Chlamydomonas reinhardtii: one gene and its partner. Each later gene encodes a partner of the first gene's protein in a complex. Links are inferred from orthologs where the notes say so. Each region holds a gene or a part of one and is shown on either strand. Other genes may lie near its edges.

Evidence for each region. The genes of interacting proteins can lie anywhere in the genome.
Region 2: CHLRE_02g088900v5 (region 1) and CHLRE_08g365400v5 share a complex: the UniProt entries of both Arabidopsis thaliana proteins name them as parts of the 50S ribosomal subunit. The link is inferred for Chlamydomonas reinhardtii from reciprocal best matches to the Arabidopsis thaliana genes EMB3126 and emb2184.

What each region holds. Positions count from the first base shown.
Region 1 is NC_057005.1:2,074,929-2,082,755, forward strand, and holds CHLRE_02g088900v5 (uncharacterized protein), read left to right. Parts: upstream 1-3,587; 5' UTR 3,588-3,619; coding exon 3,620-4,252; intron 4,253-4,579; coding exon 4,580-4,705; intron 4,706-4,972; coding exon 4,973-5,107; 3' UTR 5,108-5,925; downstream 5,926-7,827. Other genes in the region: CHLRE_02g088800v5 (uncharacterized protein), read left to right, coding at 1-365, 604-822; CHLRE_02g088850v5 (uncharacterized protein), read left to right, coding at 1,795-1,939, 2,023-2,213, 2,280-2,375, 2,519-2,597, 2,705-2,751, 2,934-3,050; CHLRE_02g088950v5 (uncharacterized protein), read right to left, coding at 6,470-6,784, 6,978-7,276, 7,462-7,700. UniProt on the Arabidopsis thaliana protein: This protein binds directly to 23S ribosomal RNA.
Region 2 is NC_057011.1:1,622,101-1,629,040, reverse strand, and holds CHLRE_08g365400v5 (uncharacterized protein), read left to right. Parts: upstream 1-2,667; 5' UTR 2,668-2,717; intron 2,718-2,838; 5' UTR 2,839-2,858; coding exon 2,859-3,245; intron 3,246-3,558; coding exon 3,559-3,582; 3' UTR 3,583-4,281; downstream 4,282-6,940. Other genes in the region: CHLRE_08g365450v5 (uncharacterized protein), read right to left, coding at 55-222, 531-606, 916-1,080, 1,460-1,647, 2,293-2,397; CHLRE_08g365351v5 (uncharacterized protein), read left to right, coding at 4,527-4,736, 4,808-4,957, 5,192-5,792, 6,269-6,660, 6,912-6,940. UniProt on the Arabidopsis thaliana protein: Binds the 23S rRNA.

The DNA.
Region 1 (7,827 bases):
GCGGCGGCATGGGCTACGGCGGCGGCATGGGGATGGGCATGGGGATGGGAATGGGCATGGGAATGGGCATGGGGATGGGCATGGGCGGCGGCGGCATGATGCAGCAACAGCAGCAGCAGCAACAACAACAACAACAACAGCAGCAGCAGCAGCAAGGTGGCGCAGCCGGCGCGGGCGGGGCCAAGCCAGGCGGCAAGAAGAAGGTGCTGTTGCGCGGTGCGGGCGGCGAAAAGTGGGTCGACCCCACGCTGAATGAGTGGCCGGACAACGACTTCCGCATCTTTGTGGGCGACATCGGGAACGAGGTCACTGACGACCTGCTCGCAAAGTCGTTCTCCAAGTACTCATCCTTTGCCAAGGCGAAGGTGAGCCGGCGTAAGCGCGTCATCAGAGTCAGGTTGTAGAGCCATGGACGGCTGCAGCGGAGAGTGCCGGTGGGCGTGGCCAGACGTGGCTTGTTAGCGGGAGGAGAGGCGAATACGTGACGCCAGCGCACCTCCTCCGCGGGCTTTCATGCCGCACGTTACGCCGTAACTTGGCTTGCAAGCCTGTCACTCCAGGGTACCGTTGCCCACTCGTTTGCCCACCCCCTTGCCCCGACAGATCGTGCGCGACCCCCGCACCAAGAAGAGCAAGGGCTACGGCTTCGTGAGCTTTCTGGACGGCCAGGACTTTGCCAAGGCGCTGCGTGAGATGAACGGCAAGTACATTGGCAACCGGCCCTGCAAGCTGAGCAAGAGCACCTGGGACGAGCGCACGGTGCGCAAGGTGACGCTGAAGGAGAAGAGCGGCGGCAACGACCCTAAGCGGCAAAAGAGGTAGCGCGCCCGGTTGCGTGATTGCGGAAGCGTGTGCGAGTACGGTTGGTTGTGTAAGGGGTTGTGGGGCGTGGCAGGTGCGGATGCAGACCGGGCTGACTATGACTGGACTATTTGTTAGCAAGCACAGAGGCGTGCTCGCACGGCACGCCTGTGGACGACGTACAGTGGTTTTGCGTGCGGCGCCTGGGTGCTGACATGCGCTTGGGTGGTTCTGGTACGGGGCTGCTCCCACTCCCAGGTGTCATGTGTTGAACAGTAACTGCCGTGATGAGGACTTGATTGGATTGCATGGTCCTCGCTTGGACTGTGGTAATCAGTGGCCACCTTGCTTGTGTACGGCTGCTGTAGTCTGTGGGTGTTCCTTCACTCCTTTCAGTCGTGTTGAGTAAACGCGAGCAACGGCAGCCAGCATGCCAGCCGCGGTTGTGGGGTCCTTTGGCCACGGCCATCCAATGCCCGTTCGCACGCAGGCGGGGGCGCACGCCAGCACGGCAGGAGGCTAACACGGCCAACTCGCAGAGACGCTGAGGGTATGCGGCTACCGTATGTGGCGTCGTGATGGCGACATGGCGTTGTTGGCAGGCATGGTGAGTGACCGAGTCACGAGTTGTCAGGTGCCTCAGATTCCCAGGGAAAGCTGTTACAGCCGAAGCCCGCCTCGCCCTTGGCCTCGCCCCTAGGTCTGCAGGCTGTGCCGCCAGGTGGCACCGTGCTCTCATGGTGCCTTGGAGTGCTTCCTGCTAGTTCCTGCCTTATGTGGCGGGACACCTCCCCCTACCGTGGCCCCACTTCGTACCCAACGTAGGGATACACATGTATAAGAGCTACCTGTGTGCAATGCGCTTGTGCGGCGGGCAACGGCTGTACGCCATGCATGCCGTTGCGGACGGTTGCCCCCCCGACCCTTCCCCTTCCTCTTTCCCATCCATTTCCCCTACCTTCACTTTCGCTACTTGCACAAACATACGTTACCATGGCCGCCCTTCAGAGCCGTGTTGGTCGGTGCGTGGGCGCTTCCGCTCGGCGCCAGCACTCGCTGGTTGCGAGCCGTGTTGCTGTGCCGCGCCCTAGCGTCAGCGTTGTGCCTCAGGTGCAGCAGGAGGCTCACCATGTGCAGGGTGAGCGAATTTGCAAAGCGGTAACCTGGCCTTTTGCGAGTGTAATGGCCGCCGAATGAATTCCTTGTTTTTGGTCGCACCAGGCGTCGCCCAAATCCCCTCGAGCCGTGCCTCTTGCATTGCTCGGGCCACTTACCATGGCTCTGTTATGGCGGAGCCTGGCAGCAAGTACGCGGTGGTGGTCGCTCGCTTCAACAGCCTGATCACCAAGGGCCTGCTGGAGGGTGCTATGGAGACCTTTGAGGCGCATGGCGTGCCCAAGGAGAACGTGGACGTAAGCACAGCTCGGTCGGCATTGTGCGTACGCATGCGTGCGACTGAATCGCGCGCTGTTTTGCAGGTCGCTTGGGTGCCGGGCAGCTTCGAGATGCCCGTCATCGCCAAGTCCATGGCAAAATCGGGAAAGTACGCAGGCGTGGTGTGCATCGGCGCTGTGGTGAGTTGGCGGGATGGCACAGCACTGGTATATCACCCCACGGCGAACCTGCTTGCGGAACGTTTGGGAGACGACCCCAGGGCGGAGCACACCCAAAGGATTGATTTGGCAAGCCAACTGTATTGGCTGGCTGCTCTGCACAGATTCGTGGCGCTACCACCCACTACGACGCCGTCGTGAGCGCGGCCACCAGCGGCGTGCTCAACTGCAGCGTTGACACCGGTGAGTGCCGCCGCGGGCTCAGGGGTCAGGTCGTAGACTGACATGCGAATGCGCCATTGTCATCATGCATCGACACGTGACCTGGGCTGCGGTGCGTGCGTGTGCAGGCGTGCCCGTCGTGTTCGGCGTGCTGACCACCGACGACCTGGAGCAGGTGCGCCGCAATTGCAAACGCGGATCCCAGGCGGGGTTCACCATGGGCGTGTCTGAGTTTCATGTCTGCATGTGGCTTGGGCCGGAGTGCCAAGGACCGAGGGTGGTCAGTGCGGAGGGGTGCTCGTGGGGCAAGGCGAGCGCGGCCCGAACCCTGTGCCTTCGGCATTCTTGCCCCTGCAGGCTCTGGACCGCACCGGTGGCAAGGTCGGCAACAAGGGTGGCGAGGCCGCCCTGACCGCCGTGGAGACCGCGACCCTCCTGGCCAAGCTGAAGAAGGAGGGCAAAGCCTCGTGGTAAATGGCAGCCAGCCGGACCTGGAGGACGCGCGCGTGTTATCAGGCTTTCATGCCGGAGCGGGCGTCATGTAGAGCCACTGGTGTGAAAATCCTGACTAGATTTCGGGTGTGGATGAAGGCAAGGGGTTGTGCATGCGCAGGCGCGGATGCAGGCAGGGGATTTGCGCTTAGTGCTGTGCCTCCCCTGGTGCTGTGGGTGTGGGCAGGTTGGGGGATGCTGTGGGCATGTCCGTGTGACTGTGAGTCACGTGTGTTTTACAAGGATGCTTGAATGCGCCAATAAAATCGTTCTTCGGTTCGTTGTGCCGGGGGACGGCCGCGAGCGGCTTGGCCGCGAGGCATGTGGACTTGCAGCTCGCGCGGCGGCGAGTTTGCCCTTGCAAGTGGGTTAAATCGCGTGAGCCTGGATTATGCATGTAACACAAGGACTACATTTTTTCGTGGCAATGTCTGGCAGGAATTGGGGAATTGGGGGGCGCGATGGGCAATGGTGCCCGGCCACAATTTGCTCTAGGCTCGACTCAGAGCCCCGTTGGCCCCCACTACACTATTTACATTAGTTTAGCAACCATGGCCATGATGTCCCTGCAGCAGCGGCTGCTGCAGCCCAGCGCCGGCGTTCGCTCGGTGGCGCCCTTCAGGCCCGTGGTGGCGCCTCGCCCTGTGGTGGTCGTCCGCGCGGCGGCCCTGGACGAGGAGGTTGAGTTTGAGGTCGTGGCCAACAAGCCTCAGCAGAATGTGCGTAAGGAGAAGCCGCGGTCCAAGCGCTTCAAGGCGATGCAGACCAAGACTCCTGGCCGCACCTCGGAGCTGGACCCCAAGGAGGCTATTCGCCTGGTGAAGCAGACCGCCTCCACTAAGTTCACTGAGTCCGTGGAGTTCCACGCCCGCATGGGCCTGGACCCCAAGTTCTCGGACCAGCAGCTGCGCGCGACTGTGTCGCTGCCATTCGGCACCGGCAAGGAGCTGCGCGTGGCCGTTCTGACCCAGAACGACAACATCAAGCTGGCTAAGGATGCTGGTGCCGATGTTGTGGGCGGGGATGACCTGATCGAGAAGATTAGCGGTGGTTTCATGGAGTTCGACAAGCTCATTGCCACCCCCGACATGATGCCTAAGGTCGCCAAGCTGGGTCGTGTGCTGGGTCCCCGTGGCCTGATGCCCAACCCCAAGGCGGGCACCGTGACCACCGATGTGGCCGGGGTAAGCAGCCGTCGCGAGGCGTTGGCAAAGGGAGGGGGGTGGCGATCGGCTTGCGGGGGGAGGGGGGCATGTGCGGTGATGCGCTGTGTAGGCTGTGGGCCTACCCAGTGACCACGACTGAATGCGGATTTTGCACGTCAGCTGCCAAGCCATCGTCACATTTGATGCAGTTTTAGGGCGACCCAACAGGCCGGGCGCATCAGCCAAAGTGACTGGCGGGGGTCCGCACTGTCGACCAGCTCGTATGTATACTCTTAGCCCGTACGCGTCGCCAGGCGCTGCATTAAGCATCCGTGCTTCTTCCTTCCCTTGCCTCCAACCCCACAGACCGTCAAGGACTTCAAGGGCGGCAAGGTGGAGTACCGCCTGGACAAGACCGGCAACCTGCACGTGCTGTTCGGCCGCGCCGACTTTAAGGAGGAGGACCTGCTCTTCAACCTGAAGGCCGTGCAGGTGCGCGGCATGTTCTTTGCTGTGTTGCTAGTAATGCTTTGTGGCTGCGCATGATTGAAGCGAGGTGGATGGGAGGGCTGGAGGGCGGGCGGCATGCATGTGCGCGGACGGCGGTGCGCCGGTGGTGGCTGGCTGCACTTCGTCTTTGCCAGTGCGCCGTATTGTCGACTTGCAGGGCTCCGCACGAAATGGGTCACCCGGGAACCGCTGCAAACCATCGTGCGCCAGAGCCCTGACCCATATATGGTTGCTCCTTTCTGCTTGCAGGAGTCGATCGATGCCAACAAGCCCCCCGGCGCTAAGGGTGTGTACTGGAAGTCCATGTACGTGTGCACCACTATGGGCCCCTCGCTGCGCATCGGCGTCTCGGCCCTGCAGAACACTAAGGGCAAGGCGGAGTAAGCGGCTCGCGCTGGACTCGCTAACGGCGGCGACTGTGGGCTTGGGAAGGCAGCGGACAATGGATTTTGTGGTGTTGGCATGGAGGTGACGGCTGCGCGGGAGGCCGGCTTGGTTTGGAGGCCGGCGGCAGCAGGTTTGGCGGCTGGCGAGCAGCAGCGCTGAAGCAATGCAGCAGCAGCAGGAGCAGCAGTGGACTGACCGCATGATGGAGAGCAGCAGCATGTGGAGGAGCGGAGCATGGCGTTTGCACACGCGCTTTGTGCGGAGTAGGAGGCTGCGCTGGCCATCGCGATCGGCGGGCGCTGTGCTTTGTCTGGGCCGCCAGCGGCGGCAGTTCACACGGCGCGCGGGATGGCGATGTCAGGGCGTCAGCGGTGCCCGATTTTGCAATCGCCTTCAGATACAGACCGGCGCCGTGCGAGCGCGCCGGCGGGCGTGGATTTTCTTGTGGTAGAGGGCGGATGGAGCTGGGACCTCGTGAGCGGCACGCAACGCAGCTGACAGGCTGCACCGCTCGGCCGCGATCCAGTCGCAGCCGATGCAGGGCGTGCACAGAGCTTGCTTGGAGCTGGCGGCGGTGGCTTTGGGGTTCAGGTCACAACGCACGGATGGCAAGCGCTGCCGGCGTGCGCGTGTCGTCAGCGCACGGCTAACGCTAGCCAGCTATCCGGCATGGCATAGGAGGATGGGGTCGCCGCGGTATTTTCAGAGTCGGATAGACTAAGCGGCGGCTTGGAACATAGATACAGACTGTTCCGTGCGGAGTGGAGGATTGGGCCGCAACCGGCGGCAAGTAAACGATGTAATGTCGTGGTAAAGTTACGTTGTCCATTGCCGGGTGCGGGGTGGCGCAGGGTCGTAAGCGGGCAAGCAATCGAGCTACCGGGTATCGAGTGCCAGGTGTGGCCAGACCGCCAGAGCTGTTTGGGTGGCACAGCCGACTGCCCGTACAGCATACCGTCAAGTGGCTAAGAAACCAGTGAAGTTGTCAGCAGGACCAGCGGGCGACACAGGAACCCCGTATAAAACATAACAACACCGCCAAATGCCGTACGCGAAGTGTAGCAGTATCAATGAAATCAGACTTGGCTGACGCGGGCATCCTGGGGGGTCTGGTCGGCCTGGGTCGGCGTACCCACAGTCCCATGGCGTAACGCGACGCCTCCCTGGGCTCTCAACCAACCACCAACCGCTCGTAAGCGTTAGAGCCTCTGCCAACCTGTCCTTGACCACCGGCACCTATCTGGTCTGGAAACACCCTGCATTCTATGGTACTGCGCCAACCTGCCCCGCACCCCAGCTTACCCTGTCGCATCGCACACATGCCCCTGCAGGAACAACGCAATCTGCCCATACCGTGTGTCAATCCAGCTCTTCAATTAGAGGCTTCTTCTTGGCTACTGCCGCCTCCTTGCCTGCAGCCGCCGCCGCGCCCACCGGCTGCTTTGGGTTGGACATCCCAACCACCTTAAGCTCCTCCAGGAGGCTGTGTGGCACACCCGGGTTGGAGGCCGCCCCCAAGCCCTGCCCTGCGTCCGTCGCTTTGCCCGTTGTGCCCGCATCGTCGGCGCCGGCCACGGCCACCTGCGCCGCCTTGGCAGCCGCCTGCTGCAGCCGCTCTTGCTGCTGCTTGTGCAGCCCCTCAAACGCCTTATCGCCCACGGCGTCGCGATGCACCTGCATCAAGGAGACGGCGGCGGTCGTGTTGATGCCGGATCCGAGACAAACCATGCAGAGCCTCAACTCGGGAGTTACAATACTGCCGCGACTCTCGCCGTTGGCAGCGCAGCCATCCCCACCAACAACCCCAAAACCACTCCCCTACGCGCGCCCTCCCCGTCCGCCCCTCCCCTGCCCTCCCCCGCCGCACCTGCAGCGTGCGCACGCTTCTGCTGAGCACCAGGCGGTACTCGGCCTCCGCGAACTGGCTCACCGCCTCCAGCAGCGCGCCGCGTGCCCCCGGCGGCGCGTCCGCTGCCGCCGCGCGCACCGCGTCGCCGTGCGCCGCCACGTGGAAGTGGTGCACCAGCACCTGGCCTGGCCGCGACATGGCGGCCCGGTACTCGGCCAGCGGTACGACAAGGCCCGACCAGCTGCCGCCCGGCGGCGCGGCGGCGCCAGGGCGCAGCGGCGCGCCGTCGGCAAAGTGTGCGGGGCGCAGGCCCGATGCTGCAAGGCAGGCGGGCAGGCGGGCAGGAATGGGCGGGGAGCGGAGGGTGCTGGTCAAGATCCCAGGCAGCCGCTCTGGAGGCGTCAGTCCCCTTGATGCAGTACGGCACGTGTGTTTACAGCAGCATATGCATTTGCAGGTATCCACCGTCGCAAGTCCAACCCGGCATCGACGCAGCGCTCACCATCCGTAGCGGCCCACACGTGCACGCGCGCCACCGCCTTGCTGCCCCCCACAAGGTTAGCCACACTGGCCGGCGCGCCGCCGGCCGCTGCCGCCGCCGCCACGACCGCCGCCGCCTGCGGCTGCTGCGCCTGCGCCTCCAGCACCAGAGCGGGCGCAAGGCTCTCCACATGCGGGTCTCGCGCCTTCTCCGCCTCCTCCTTGGCGACCTGCGCCTGCGTCTTGATGAACTCCTGGTACCTGCTCGGCAGAAGTTGCACAAGGGAGCAACGATACCGCGTCACACCGCCGCCCGTCCATAGCGGCTGCCGGGCCTGCCAGACGCGGGCGTGAGCCCACAAGTTGACAGCTCCGCCCCGCAACGCCC
Region 2 (6,940 bases), on another chromosome or scaffold:
CTGCTCTTTAACACACACACATACACACACAGACACACGGCGCCCCGCCCGCACCTGCGCCATGTTCCACACGTTCTCGCCCATGCTGGCGGTGGGGTCCACAATCTGGTAGCCCAGGTTGGCGTCGGCGTCGTAGGGGTGGCCCCAGCGCCGCATCAGCGCCGCCATGCGCTTCTTGTCCTTATGCAGCGCGCGGTCGTGCTCCGCCCAGCGGCCCGTGACCTGTGTGCATGGGGTAGGGTACACACAGGTGGTTAGGCAACTAGGGCTGTCCCGGCCTCTTCGGGACTCGGGGACTATCTTCCCTGGGCTCTGTTCCCCGTCCGATCGCCGCCGGCCACAAACCCGGGTTCCTACTGCCCCGCGCCGGCTTTCCCCCGCCTTGCCCCGCCACCGCTTCGCTCCTGCCCCCCGGGGGCGGCCACTCCTTGACAATCGTGACCTGTTTCATGTGAGCTCGGGCATATACGATCCTCCCTTCATACTTGTGATTTAATCGCCCGCGCTTCCTCCTGCCCCTCCTCCCTCACCTCGGGCCCGGGCGGGTCGTCCTCCACCGGCGGCGTGTCCTCCTCCAGGTTGCCCGCGTTCAACACGTCCTCATACCTGGCGAGGGAGCAGGAAAGGCAGGGAATTCAAAAGGGTCTGATTAGCGATGCAGGCCAAGGACAGGCAGAGAGCAGGGACGCAGGGGGCCGCAAAGATAGTTGGAAAAGCGGTACAGGATGCCAAGAAGACTGAAGACGAAGACGTGACTAGGGGTGGGGCAACAGGTGCAGGGCGCTCTTCCGGTTGTGGAGAGAATACATCGGACAAACAATCCCCTCGCTCCTCCCCAATCCCCCAGCTTCCACGCTCTCACGCCACACGCTAGCCGAACCCCTCCCCTCCTAATCCCACCGCCCATTCTCTCACCACTCATCCATGAGCGGCCCCGTGGCCTTGTCGTAGTAGGCCAGGCGCGACTCCCACTCGCCCCACCGCTCCATCCACTCGCTCTCCGCGTCCCAGGCGCACGCCGTGCCGCACACGCGGCAGCCGCCGTCCGCGCCCGCCTCGTGGTCGTGGTCGTGCGCGGAGCTGCGGCAGCGGGGGCCGCAGCAGCGGGGGAGGGGGCCGCAGCAGCAGCGAAGGATGCAGTTGAGGGTCAGGCGCGTGTGCGCGTATGTGGGTATGTGCTTGTGTGCGTGCGCCGCCACCCGGGTGCGCATTGGAGCCGGATCGGGCCAGAACCGGACCGGGTTGTGCAAACCAGCGCCACGCAGCCACGCCCGAAGGCGCCCGACACACCCCGCCGTCTGCAGCCCACCTACACCCCACAGCCCCCCCTCCTCCCCGCAGCCGGCCTCGACCACTTCAGTGAATCCCATTCAGTTAACTCCCTTTATTAGGCTACACGCTTGCCCTTCCCCAGACCCCCTGCCCATGGCCCCCTGCCCACAGGCCCCCGACGCCTCACCGGCCCTCAGCGACGCCGCCCAGCCCCGCAAGCGCCGCCCGCCGCCGCGCGCCGCCCGACACGCGCGCGTCGCCTAGGCAGGCGGGGCAGGTCATGACGCCGGCGCCCTTGCAGCGCTGGCACTTGTGCTGGAGCAGCCGCGGGTAGGTGCGCGCGAAGTGGTCCACGAACGTGAAGCCCTCCGCCAGCTGTTTTGTGAGGTGGGTGGGTGTGTGTAGGGGGCGGGGGGGGGATTGCGGGGCGGGAATGGAAGATTGACAGGGAGCAGGCAAGGGGTGAGCGGGAGGGGGGGGGAGAGGGGGCGGCGCAGGGCGGGGGCCATGCGGGGCGGGTGCAACCGTACCCCTACCCTACGTTGCATTTGTTTGGTTTTGTTACCACGCCAGCTGACTGCATTCGGTGTGTTGCGTGCGCCGTGGTTGCCGCAAGCAAGCCGGCGGCCGAGAGGGATATGAGATGTGAGTGCGGCAGGCACGGGGCCGCACCGCTAACGTCCCCATCGCCAAGACCCGCAGGCGCGCAGATACAGCCACTAGTAGCAACACACGATGCAGCGCCAGCTGCTGCACCCTGTCCCCCGCGTCGCTCTGTGCGTGGCTGCCGGGCCCGTTGCGTGTGGGGTCTGGGGTGGAGAAAGGCGCAGGCGCCGTGTGTCGCCGCTTTCGAGCCACCCCGCAGATCTATTGGCCATATCGCAAACCGTTCAACCATTTTGTAACTCAATGCAGCTTTAACGCTACTCAGCCGCCGCAAACGAGGTGTCGGGGCACAGCAAACCAACTTCCTTGCACTTGCCACCTCGCATGGCGGCAAACAGCTGTGCCCCGACTCACCCAAATGACTTTCTGCGCCCACCAGACCAGCTCCCGCTCTGGGAGCGAGCGCATAAGGTCGACGTAGGGGTCGCCATCGAACTCTCGCGAGTAGAACTGTCCCATTCTTTTCTACTGGGCTATGAACCAATTATATTAAGACTAGTGCGCGAATTGGACCACCATTCCCTCAGATCGACCCGCAGCAAAGTCTTTTGTTGCCTGCGCGGTGGTTTTATGGCTGTGCAGTTGAAATTATGGCGTGCCTAATGATACTGTATCACAGATTTAATTTAGCCAAGTGGAGGAGCCTCCTTTCACCTGCCCCCTTCAATCGCCCCTGCATCGCCGGCAAGCGAGGGACCTGTGTGGACCTCGAGCCCTGTTCTCCACTCTACTTAACTAGTTCTTTTACATTCTAGTAGGCGTCAGAGTCACGCCATAAGGTCAGTCCCTCGCTAGCGACCGACCGCGCAGCCAGTCCACAAATTCGGCCGCAGCCTGAACTGGGTCCGCCGCTCGCTCTACTCGCTCCGGGGCCTCACAAACGCTTTTCATTTGCTGCAGGGAAAGGAACTAGCAGCGCGATGGCGACCCTCACCAGCTCTCGCGTCACCGCGTTCTCGGGCTCGCGCCTGGGCAACGTCCGCATCGGCCAGGCGCGCCGGGGCGTGACCGCCGCGCGCATGGCCAAGGAGGGCATTCACCCTCAGTGGTTTGAGGAGGCTAAGGTCATTTGCAACGGTGTGGAGGTCATGACCGTGGGCGGCACCAAGGCCACGTACAACGTGGATATCTACTCGGGCAACCACCCATTCTACCAGGGCAACCGCACCACCATGGTGCTGGACGATGGCCAGCTGAACAAGTTCAAGAAGCGGTTCGCGGAGCTGGAGGAGCTCGCGGTCGTGCCCATTCTGCAGGCCGGCAAGGCCGAGGACCCGTCGGCGAAGGAGAAGCCCGCTGCTGCCGCGGTAAGGGCTGGCGAAACAGCGCTCGGGTCCGCCAGAAGTTCTGGGGTGTGGCCATCCCTGCTTGTGGGCCATGTGCACGGCAGCTAGGTCGGACGGTCGGTCGCGCTCTATTTGATGCTTGGAGGAATGGATGGCGCTGTTCTCGGGGGTTACGCAAGGGCGGGGGGGGGGAGACCCTCAGGGGCTGAGCAGCCCCACCCGTGTGCCCTCCACGGCACCGGCGTGCCGTTCGAGCGGGTACGTGCGGACATGTCCGGTGCGAGCCTGATCACACCTAATTTCCCGCGCATCCTCTCGCCCCTTGACCCCGCAGAACAAGAAGGGCAAGAAGAAGTAAGCGGCTCGCTGGAGTGGCGCCGGCGGCCGACAGGCCGCTGGCAGCAGCATGCACAGCTAGCAGGGGGGTTTGTCAGCGCCGGCGGCTGGCGCCTGGGCTGGGAGCGGGGCGGACGTGTGGAGGCGGCCATGTGTAGAAGTTGGCGCCGTCAGTGCAGCAGCACAGCGGCGCAGGGAAGCAACGCGCGGGTGCCATCAGGAGCGACCTCGGGCGCAGGCGCATCGGCGCTGGCAGCAGCGCGGAGGGAGAGGCCTGACAGATGGCGAGGCGAGGCGGCATGCCGACATGCCGACCCGTGCGGCGCTTGATGTGGGTTTGTTGTTAGAAGCGCGCGTGGAGCAGGAGTCTTACGGGGCAGCGCACCCAAGGCGCAGGGGTTCGGGCTAAGGCTCGACCGGAATTGACCGCCCCGGGCAGCGCGCGCCAAGGAGCAACGTAGGCTGGTTGGTGTGTGTGTGAGCTGCTGGCCTGGCCACATTTTGACTCGCGTGGCGACGGCTGCGAAGCTCTTAACCCAACGGCTCGTGGCTCTTCGTAGCAGGACGTGGGGTGGGTAGCTGCATATACGCACGTCGATACGCAGAGGCGCGGAGAGAGCTTGGAGAGAGAGGCGGTGTGGTTGAGTGCCGGACAGAACGCCGGACAGACGTGTGCAATCAAATAGGAGAGCGTTGTCGAGCTCTGTAAATGCATATCCGATGTGACCTGACGCGCCTGCTGCACGCCTGCACGCCCTCCCTGCTGCTGGGAATCGGGAGGGGGGATTCAAGTGAGGGCAACCGTGCGCGGGGGGCCGGGGGGCCCCTGGCGGGAGGGGGGGGGCTCGTACCGGTCAGATGCAGAAGGGGTAGAAGGGCCAGCACGGGGACACTGATTTCAAAGCCCAGAAGAACGTAGTCAACGGCAGACACAGAAACAGTCGAGCTGGTAATACACAAGAACACATGTTGAGGTCTCGGGGCGGCGCTGCAGCGCTTTCGGCAGCATCCTCGCGGCACCCACCGCTGCCGGTGAAGCTGTCGGTGAGGCTGGGCCCCGGCGTGAGCCTGCACAGCGGCCTTGCTGCCGCGCTGCTGCAGGAGCTCATCAAGTTCATCCAATTTGCGCGCGGCCAGACGCAGACGCCCTTTGAGCACCTTCGGGCCGCGCTGCAGGTGCGTGCGCGCCAAAATCTGTCCTATCAAAGTCTACCTTACCAGTGCTATTGGCTCTCGGCATCATGCAGAGTAGCCTGGAGTCGCTGGCGGAACAGCATGAACAGGAGCAGAAACAGGAGCAGGAGCTTCGCGCCTCGGGTGCGACTCATGCAAGGCTGACCCGGCCGCGGCGCAGCAGGCGCCTGCGGCTGCCCTCGGCTGTAAACCGCATCATCAAGGTGCGCTTGAGGCAACCCGGGGCTGCGGTCGACGGGTTGCGAGCCGTGTCCTTGCCGTGTCCTTGCCGCCCAGGCCCGCTCCCACTCACCCGGGCCACAATTTACACCGGGGCGAACACTCCCACCTGGGTCGTGCTACGGGGGCATGCCCCACGGTCATGGTCCCTCCATCGCAACACAAATACACACACACTTGCGTGCTTGTGCTCTGTGACAAACTCCCGCATCTCGCAGTTTTCCGAGTCCATGGATGCGCTGCTGGCCGCCGCCAGCCCCCAGCTGCTGGCGGCAGCGCAGCCCGCGGCCGTGGCGGTGGTCCTGGGCGCCTGCCCCCACCGGCCCCGGGAGCTATACCACATCACCTTCAGTGGGCCCGACGGCCAGCCGCTGCTGCCTCTGCTGCAGCCGCCCCCATCCCCGCAGCCGCTGCAACCGCCGCGGCCGCCGCAGCCGCAGCCTGCAGCAGCAACGGGAGCCGTGCTGCTTGCGCCGGCGGCAGGCAGCACGGCGGCGGCATCTGGGTCAGAGGCCGCGGCGGCGGCAGCTGCTACAGACGCAGAAACAGGCGGTTGGAAGCCGCCTATGCCGCCGCCGCCACTGTCACCGCCGCCGCACGGGCAACAGGAACAGCAGCAACAGCAGCAGTTGCACCCCCCGGGCCAGGCCGTGCCGCGGCGCGGCGCGCGGCGTCACCAGGTGCCGCGCAGCTTGGGTCCGGACGCGGCGGCGGCGCTGCAGGCGGGCCTGAGCGACCGGGAGCGGGGCGCGGTGCGGCGGGCGCTGCGCGGGCTGGTGGTGGCGCAGACCTCTGTGGAGGCGTGGAGCAGGCTGCAGCGTGAGTGGCGCGGACTGAGGCGTACCGGGCGTGGGCTGCGGCATCACGGGCTTGGGGTTGGTCCACCCTGGGTAGAGCTGTGGGAGTGGTATGCAGGGACAGCGGACAGCAGGGCAAAGGCGGGCGCGGGGGAGGGTTTGGGCGCGGGGGAGGGTTTGGGCGCGGGATTGGGGTCAGGGCGTGCAGGCATGGCCGAGGCGACTAGGGCGCCCGTGGGATCATGTGTTGTTGTGGCGGCTGCGCTGAACCTCGATCGCTGTTTCAAAGAGCAGCAGGATTACGTATGAGTAGACAGCAGCAGCAGCAGCAGCAGCTCATGTGCGCGGGGCTTAGGGGCAGTGGCGGCAAGCCGACGCCGTGTTGCTTATCATCCTGCTCGCGGGGCTGGTGTGCAGTGCTGCAATGTCCGCTTGCCTGCATGCCTGCCCGCATGCCCACATGCCTGCCCGCATGCCCACATGCCCGACCGCGTGCAGGGCCGACCAAGATGTGGCTGGCAGTGGCCCCGTCCGCCGCCGCGGCCAGCACCAGCGGGCCTGCTGCACCTGAGGCCGCCGCCACCGCTGCCGCCGCCGGCGCCGCCGGCGCCGCACCCTCAGCTGCTCCGCAGGCCTACCGAGACCGAAGCTGGGGGGCAGCAGCTGCTGCTGCAGGTGCTGCTGGCGGCTCGGCAAAAGTGCCGGCACCCTCGACGCCTCCGCCACCGCCGCCACCACCACAGGGCAGCGGCTTCCGCATGTGCACGCGGCTGCCCTTCACCGCGGGCGCCGCCTGCGCCGCCCACGGCGCCTCCGCCGCGACTGCAACGGCGGCGGCGGCGCGGTCAACGCTGCCTGGCGCCTCACGTGCGCTACGGAAGACTTTGCAGGTGAGGGGGGATTCCAGGTGCGCTTACAGACATGGGGGTGCTGCTATAGACCAATAGTACGGTGCAACTCCGCCTTCCTGACCTTCCTGGTGTGCCGCTCGGACGTACGGTACGGGTAGTCAAGCGGGTTCCTCATTTGCCCTGCCGGGTTTGACCACCACCTTCCCCTCCCCCTCCGCCCCCTCCCCCTCCTCCTCGTCCTCCTCCTCCACAACCACCTCCTCCTCGGCTGCGGCTGCCGGCCGCAACAGGTGCACATCGACATTCAGGCCAGTGGCGG